2 linked regions of the Caenorhabditis elegans genome follow. The protein of the gene in region 1 interacts with the protein of each later gene in a pairwise test. Each region holds a gene or a part of one and is shown in the gene's direction. Other genes may lie near its edges.

What was found. Proteins that work in one complex are often made in the same cells at the same time.
Region 2: the proteins of C35E7.10 (region 1) and K05B2.4 interact in a two-hybrid assay, tested with the Caenorhabditis elegans proteins (one large-scale study listed by BioGRID).

Annotation. Positions count from the first base shown.
Region 1 is NC_003279.8:10,810,136-10,814,699, reverse strand, and holds C35E7.10 (Tyrosine-protein kinase), read left to right. Parts: upstream 1-1,776; 5' UTR 1,777-1,926; coding exon 1,927-1,992; intron 1,993-2,038; coding exon 2,039-2,143; intron 2,144-2,192; coding exon 2,193-2,567; intron 2,568-2,900; coding exon 2,901-3,134; intron 3,135-3,390; coding exon 3,391-3,675; intron 3,676-3,726; coding exon 3,727-3,834; intron 3,835-3,878; coding exon 3,879-3,998; 3' UTR 3,999-4,052; downstream 4,053-4,564. Other genes in the region: C35E7.7 (uncharacterized protein), read right to left, coding at 1-190, 810-885; slfl-3 (Schlafen-like protein 3), read right to left, coding at 4,316-4,433.
Region 2 is NC_003284.9:4,918,456-4,922,587, reverse strand, and holds K05B2.4 (Acyl-coenzyme A thioesterase 1-like), read left to right. Parts: upstream 1-1,595; 5' UTR 1,596-1,608; coding exon 1,609-1,715; intron 1,716-1,856; coding exon 1,857-2,069; intron 2,070-2,113; coding exon 2,114-2,330; intron 2,331-2,386; coding exon 2,387-2,491; intron 2,492-2,535; coding exon 2,536-2,646; intron 2,647-2,689; coding exon 2,690-2,778; intron 2,779-2,913; coding exon 2,914-3,055; intron 3,056-3,101; coding exon 3,102-3,267; intron 3,268-3,387; coding exon 3,388-3,533; 3' UTR 3,534-3,600; downstream 3,601-4,132. Other genes in the region: mct-4 (MFS domain-containing protein), read left to right, coding at 500-570, 621-650.

The DNA of each region.
Region 1 (4,564 bases):
ATTTTTTTGGTTTCAACAATGAAACCGGCAACCGAATAACCATTTGGACAAGTGGTAACGATGGATTTGCATTCTGGATAAGTGACTACTGGGGCAAGGAATTGGTCTTCGGTGTATTGTTTGGCTATTTCTGGATATTCGGTTTGAAGCCAATTGAATTCAAATGTTGGTTGTCTGATGCACCCGCATTCTGAAATTTTCAGGGAATTTCGGAAAGCCGAATATATATTTTATTTTATTTTTTTAAGTACTGAGAAGTAGCTGGTAAACATAAAATTGAACATTATCATACCAGAATGAAAGTAAAATGATGAAATTATAGAACCTACACAAATTTTTATTATTGTCTACGAAGATTTTCCAAAACTCCACTAAAACTTAATGTCCCTGTCAAAACTACTTTCTAAAAAATGCGTCAATCTATACTCAAACTTTGAAATGTGCTATTTGCAAATTTATAACTGAAATTTCCATTAAAAATATTAACTGTGAAACTCAACTCGGAGAACTTTTAATTGTCTCCTGAAAGTGTTCAGTTCATATTTAGTGTTTTTCAGCGATATTTTTGGGAATTTCCGATATTCCATAATTATATCGGTGATTTTTTAGAAATTGTTTTATTGAAAAAAAATTAAATTTTAAGTCAATACATTTTTGTGCAAAATTTCTTTAATAGGATACGTTAGGGGCTAAACTACTAGCTAAAACAGTAGCCTATATAGATTTTTAGAGAGTTTTGCAGAAAGTATCCAACAAAACCAAGCTATTTCTTATAAAATTAACTACACTAAATTAAATGATTTACGTACCATTTTCAAGTGGATTCTTGCACAATTGAGCGGCAAAGATCATTAGAAGAAGGACAAGAAGACTGATAGCTGACATTTTGATGGTGTTTGCTTTTTCGTTTCAATTTCATCGGCTTTTATTCGGTTCCGATCTCCCATATTAGCTAATTCAATATTCAAAATTCAAAATTCAAATGGGACAACTGGCAAATGGTAATTAGTTTTGCACGGTGGAATTGACAGGGCAAAGAATGAAAATGTGATGTGGAAGTTTGCATTTAGTAAAAAGCAATTTTTATGATAAAAGTAAATACATTTCGGCTTGTAAGAACTGGAAAGTGCGCATTCGTTCAATAAAACTAACGGAAACCAAGATTAGTCGTGAACAATGAACAAAGATGCTTACTCCCGATCGATGCACCATGTATACTGCTGTTCTTTGAAAGCCAGATCTCGGTTGAATTGAAAGACAATTATGAACTTTTAACCAAAAACTAAAGAAAATAATTCACCTCCTATTGATGCACCATGTGTACAGCTATAATCTGGAGGTCAATATTTCGGATTTTTAACTTATCAGAAAATTAAAATTTTCAAACTTTAAAGCAATGGATGAAAAATATTTTATCATTCAAAATTTTCTCATAAAATAAATGACAGATAAGGTTCGAGTTTTTAAATCTAAACAATTGTAGTTTGCGCCATATCGATGCACCATGTTACTTCTCATGTTTAGCAGTTCATATCTCAGTTCTTTGTAATGTTATCAAAAAAGTTTTAACTACAAAGGTCGATGCACCATGTCTGACTTTCTCACTCTAGTAATCCAGCTGTCGAAGTAAAGACCGCATTTTTGAACGTATTCATTTCTTCTATGAAATTCTTTTTTGAAATTTAATCATTTTTCAAAAATATCTCAAAAATGTGAACCATTTACGTGAACTCATAAAACCTCCACAAACTTCCAAAGTTTACTGCGTGGCAAATCATAATTTTATCTCTGCCCTAAATCTCCAAAAATCAATCAGTCTCAGAATTCGGAATTCAGTATTTGATATAAATCCTTGCATTGATTGTGTCCAATCACACTTTGCACAAGCTTCGTTAGATCTTAACAAGATTAAAACAAGCTGATATCATGACTGATAAGGATCTACTTCATCAAAAGTACTATCACGGATTGCTGCCGAGAGAGGACATTCAGGTGAGTTGTGCTACTGATGGTTATTCAGACTATTGTCTTGTTTCAGGAGATGCTTAATAAACCCGGTCAGTTCTTGCTCAGAACATCGGAGCCTGTTAAAGGAGAAAAGAGGCAGTTCGTGTTGTCAGTTGTAGGTGAAAAGAAGACTTCTGTTAGTGATTATCTTTCCCGGGATTCCAATTAAACTTCTTCTTTTCCAGGCTAATCACTTTGTTGTTCGTGAGAGTGATCACAAAGTCTACGTTGATAAGATTGGCTTCCCAACAATCATCGAACTCGTCAATCACTATGTGTCGACCAAAGAGAGCTTCTCGACCAAGGATGGAACTGTCAAGGCTGTGCTGAAGCAGGCTGTGGAGCGTCAGAAATGGGAGCTGTACCATGAGGATGTGGAGTTGACGAAGAAGCTTGGAGAGGGAGCATTTGGAGAAGTATGGAAGGGGAAGCTCCTGAAGATTCTGGATGCAAATCATCAGCCTGTACTTGTCGCTGTGAAGACTGCAAAGCTGGAGAGTATGACGAAGGAGCAGATCAAGGAGATTATGCGGGAGGCTCGATTGATGAGAAATCTTGATGTGAGTTTGAGATGAAAGCCTTATGATTCTTGGAATAGTCTTGCTCTGCTTGGGTAATTTCGGGCCAAGCTGCTGGTTCAAAGCGAACGCTAATTAGTAGTAGTAGTAGTAGTGATGTATCACAGGGCTTCGAAAAAGTCATTGTGGATCCACGTGGATTTAAGGAATCTGTGGGAAGCTGTAAAGATTTTCCCTTAGTTTAAATAAGCCTTAGTCTCTGATTTTCTCGCAGATAAAAAACTTTGAGATCATAGTAATCGGGGCGTTGCTAATTAGTTCAGAAATAAACACATTATATTCCCCTGCACTACATTTTTCAATGATTTATTTCAGCATATCAACGTCGTCAAATTCTTCGGAGTAGCAGCTGGCACGGAACCTCTTTACGTGATCATGGAGTTGGCTGATGGTGGAGCACTCGATTCTGCCCTTGGGAAGCTCCATTTCCCGATGATCAAGAAGTACGAGTTGATCTACCAAGCTGCCAATGGTCTCGCCTACATCCACGAGAAGAACCTGATGCACCGGGATGTCGCTGCTCGTAACTGCCTTTATGGTGGTGGACAGGTACTGTAGATTCACCTAGATAATAATAATAATAATTTATTACGCTCGCTGGGAGACGTGAAGGAATACAGAATACAAAAGTTATTGTTCGCTTGAACTAGAATTGGTGCAGTCGGGCAATCGTTTCCATTCCATTAGAATGTTGTCCTTGTCCTTGCGTTGTCCTTGCGTAGACTCCCCCATAGTGGGCGAGCGATTCCCGAGTGAAAATAATCACGGATCTAGATGCATCTAGAAGTTAACAAACAACTTTCAGGTCAAGATCGCTGATTTCGGACTGTCCCGTGAAGGTGCGGACTACACGATGGATCTGAAAAAGAAGGTACCAATCCGTTGGTTGCCTCCAGAGACCATTCGTTCGGGTCTTTATACTCCAAAGACTGACGTCTTCGCTTTTGGAGTGATGGCATGGGAAATCACCGAGGATGGGAAGGAGCCATATCCTGGATTCAAGGTTATTGAGGTGGCAATGAAGGTTCTCCAAGGATACCGTATGCCGTTCAGCCCGGAGGTAAACAAGGAGTTTGCAGAATTCATCTTGGTAAGAATCAATTCAGATTAATGTAGTTACCGTAATCCAATAACTTTTAAGACGAAATGCTGGCCGGAAAAGTATGAGGATCGTCTCCCAATGAAGGACATTTGCAAGTGGATGAAGTCGTTTGTCAAGGCTCAAGGAGGAGATACTGGTCCAGGCGGAGTGAGTTTTTGTCAAAATGTTTTAAATTTCATGATTTCTTACAGATGATGTCGAAGATTGGCAAGAAAATGAAACGGTCAAACTCGCGTGAGAAGAGCAAAAGCTCGACTATGACTGCTGCACATGGGCAAGATCAAGGTGCAATGACAGCCATTGAGAAATAGTGAACTTTCTACATGTATTATGAATAGTTTTGAGAATAAAGTTTATTGAGAAAAGTTTTTATTCAATTAAAAATTGTGGAAGTGTCAATCATAGTCCTTCGCCAGTTTTGATGGTTATTTGGCTTGTCCAATGCAAGTCCCATTCGTCCACCGTTGAGCTATGAAGAAGAAGAATCTTGCAGCAAAGCCACTTATGATTTTATCCAGTTAAAAAAATTATTTATTTAAAAAAATTAAGAATAATCGAAACAACTAATAGTAATATTTATACTCACAGAAAAAAAGAAGAAAACAAAACGAAAAATGATACAGATTGTCTATTTAACAAGAGGTTTGATGGCGTTATTATAAATACAGAAGGAGAGAGCGGTGCCGAAGAAGATCCAGCCGATGTTCTGGATGTCGAGAAGATTGAGAAGCGATTGGGAGAGAGATCTGGAAAATTAGATGATATGAGTAAAGTTTTTTTCCAAAATCGAAAAATGTGAGTTTTTGAAAGTGGATTTTCATTATTTCTCGATGTTTTTTGGATTTTCAGACAATTTTGGGTGTTTTTTAAAAGACAA
Region 2 (4,132 bases), on another chromosome or scaffold:
AATATAACAAAATGTTAAAGGCCACTATCACTTATGGGGTTTTTGTTTCAATTAGTTCAACTCAAAGTTATAATGATATGGATATATAAAAACATTCCAATAGTGCTCCAATGTTCAAAAATCGTGAGAAAAATTTTACAAAGTTATATTGAAAATTTTTATTTCAAGTCAAAATGATCTGAAACTTTCAATTTTCGTTTTTTTTTTTGAAGGCGTCTATTAAAAAACACTTTTCTTGCTTCCAATTGTAAGTTATAATTACGCTCAAAATATTTACATTCCATAATTTTAGGAGTTTGAACATGCGACAGAAAATAGTTTTTTACGTTTGTCGGTGAACTTTTCTTGTTTTCTTGAAAATTTAATGAACTTTCTCTATGAACTCATATTTAATCAATAACCCCAAAAGTGACAGATTACCTTTAGAAAAAAAGCTCCTATAACTTTAAGTTGAAGTTTGACGCTTATTTTTTCAAAATTTAATATGCAAAATTTTCAGATCTGGAGGAAGAGAAACGCAAACAAAAGCAAAACGGAGTTGTCGAGGAAGGAAATGAAATGGATGACAATGTATGTTCATCCAACAACGATAATGATAAACTGATGTTTTACTAATTTAGATCCCACTAAAATCACTCAAGAATAACTAGAAAACCAATCTAGCCAACGCTGCTAACCGATTCTCACCCAATTCATCAAAATCTACACGGAGCATGCCATTTATTTAAACAATATTGATCTTGTTTCCACTGACCCATTGTTTTATGAGACCCCTCCCCATGTTCCGTTTTTTCGAACTTTGCAGTTGTCTCAGGTTTTAGCATTATAGCACGATTTTTCATATATTATGATATACAAAAACTGCTTGCATTTTCCAATTTTCGGTTAGTTGTGTGTAGTAATTTCTTTTTTTTAAATCTTAACTATTCATATCTTTCGCTTTTTTTCCTCTGTGTTTGACTATGACTTCTGTCATTTCCTCGATGTTCTTTATTTGGGTACGTTTCCCTTTTTCCTGTCTCAATCATCTCTGTTGTTGTTTGCAAATATCCAATCTTTAAAAAATCCACATTTAGGTAAAATTGTAATTCTTTGTGTCTCCATTCCCATGTCGAATGACCTCCTCGGATATTGCATTTGGTTGTTTTTTGTTCCCTTCCTGGCTTGTTTCATTCATTCATACTGCTACATTTCAACTGTATTCCAAAGCTATATATTTCCTTAATAAAAATTGCTTTCCGTGATAGGAAATGATGTGATTGTTAATTCTAATGTATTTTGCTACAGTGTAGCAAAGAGTGTGGTTTTATCTTTTACGTACGGCTTGATAAAATCATTCTTAATAAACCCACAAACTATGATTTTACGACAAAGTTTTAATAATGATTTGAATGTTTAAGTTAAACAGTTTTATTCATATAACTTTTTGTTAGAGTTTAAAAGTTTAATTTATTAGAGAAAAAACATTTGAAAAAATATATTAATTAAAAATCTATTCGCATATTTTTCATTCATTAAGTTTATTGATAAACTACAAACTTCATTGTATGTTCGTTATCATTATATAATGTACCCACCTGTCTTGATATCACTGTTTTTAGCATAGTCATGTCTCCGGTTATATTAGTAACACCCGAAGATTCGCTGGTCCATGAAAATGTGTCAATTGTTGTAAACGGCCTGGAGTACCAGAAAAATTATCTTTTGGAGCTGAGGTAAGTTTTTAAAATGTATTGTGTCACTTTTGAAGATTTTGTTATTAAATTGGCCGTAATCAGTTCAACGTACCAAATAAATCAAAGAAAAAATCAAAACATTTCCAGAACATTCTTTTAACACGTCTTTGATCTTTTAAGATTACTTCATAAAGTTGGAATATATCGTTCGTATGGTGTTTTCAAATCTACCGTAACTGGCTGCATAGATTTGAGTAAAATCGCTCCAATACGTGGTACTTATTCTGGTGTTAATGAAAGCGGACTGTTCGAAAGCCTCGAGCCAACGGATACTGTCAGATACGGCGGATATTGTAATTGCACACCCCCGGTTGACTTCAAATACCAATTGTTGTAAGTTAGTTTGAATTTTCAATAGTCTTATTGTTCATACATAGGGTGAAAAACTTGAATGGAACCGTGCTTGGCGAAAAATCACTATGCAGGAGGCTTATGCATCCACTGGTGGAAAGAATAGAGGTTGAAGAAGCATATCCAGAAGGTACCACCGGTAAGCCTAAAGTTACCGGAACAATGTTCAAACCACCTGGAAATGGCCCCTTCCCAACAATCATCGATATTTCCGGAACCGGTGGAGGCTTGAATGAACAGAAAGTAACTTATTAATTTCGAAACTAAACCGATGATAGAATATTTTTTTAATAATTCAGGGCGCCGCACTTGCCAGTCGTGGTTTTGCAGTCCTATGCCTTGCATTCTTCAAATACAAAGATTTGCCATATGAATTGCAAGAAGTCGAATTACGATATTTTGAGGTTGAAGAAATATTTTGTATTTTTCAAAAACGTTATACTTCCAGGATGCCATCAATTTTGTCACTTCATTACCCTATACGAATGACAGGATTGGCTTTCAAGGTATATCGTTTGGAGGAACTCTTGTTATGTTTCTCACCACAAGGTTCAAACAGGTAGGATTTAATGTTGTCTGAAAACAAATTTAATAGTTTAAAGATAAAAGCGGCATGCTCAATCAATGGCAGTTTCACAATGGACGAATTTGCGCACGTATTGATAGATGGAAAACAACCTCCAGTAGGAAGGTGCATTTTTAGAAAAATGTCATTTTTCATTAAATGTTTATAAAAATTCTGTTATAATATAACAAATGAAAAGGAATCACACATTTGAGCATCAAATCGAAATGATAAAACCCCCGACAAATTTCAGCATTTCAGATTTATCAATCAAGGAATTGAGGATATCTGGTATTTGAATGATTTAATGGTGTACACTGATATGGTCAGAAACCTAAAACTTGAAGATGGGGCAGGATTTAAATTCGAGGATTCAAGTCCAGAAACTGCATTTAGATTTTCTGTTAGTTTTCCCGACAAAAAACATAGAAATAATTTCAAATTTTCAGCTCGCCGTAGATGATTTGAGCACACCAACTGTATTTGTAGGAAAGGTGTTATCAGAAAAGTTGAGAAACTTAAACAGGAAAGTCGAAGTTCATTATGTTTCTGGTGGTCATTTGCTAGATCCTCCATGTTTTCCGCATCACGAAGCTGTGTTTTCAGCTTTTGCAGGTAAATTATTATTTTTTTTGTTGGCCCGCTGTCGACCGCTGTTGCAACATCTAAAATTCCGATTTCATTGATTTTTTATTAAACTTTGTTAACTTTGTTTTCTAAAATTCAAATTTTCAGGAACCTTCCAAGCATATGGTGGTGAAACAAGCCTTCACGGAAAAAGTCAGTTTGAAGTCTGGGAAAAAACTGTCCAATTTTTCTCCGAACACCTCGGCGCGCCAACTCCTCTTCCTGACTATTCGAGACATTTGGCAAAACTTTGAACTTCATTTCTCTGTGCAAATAAAATCATCTCTCCATTTCTTTACTTACAAAAAATTGATTTGAATATAAATACTCTCTTTGTATGTCGAAATGAAATTCCAATCATTTCGAACACAAAAAAAGCGAAAAAAGCATCTGAAATTGCGTTCGACGACAAATTGATAAACGTTTGAGATGGTTGCCGGTGAGTCACAATCAAAATTGAAAAGAGACATACATATTGTGAAGTTATTGTCCCCCACCCGCAATAGGTACAAATGATACATCATTATCGCCTTCAACCTACGCGTTCCATGAATAATTATGCAGAACGACAACAACAAAGGGAGTCGTATTGCAATATGTGTATTGGTACACTGTAATCCGCACGTTGAGCGCACCGAAACGGCTTAGTCAGTTCTTATGAAAAATATTCAGAATACAAAATACATAACCTGTTTTTACGTTCCGAACCGATACCCCTGAATAGGATATGAACTGTAATCAGTTTACGGGCGCGGTTTAACTTTTCAAGAAATGTTAGCATCTGTCCCGAAAAACTGTCATACTCTTTATTAGAAGCGAAACGCTGAATTTTCACATTATATATGGATTCGCA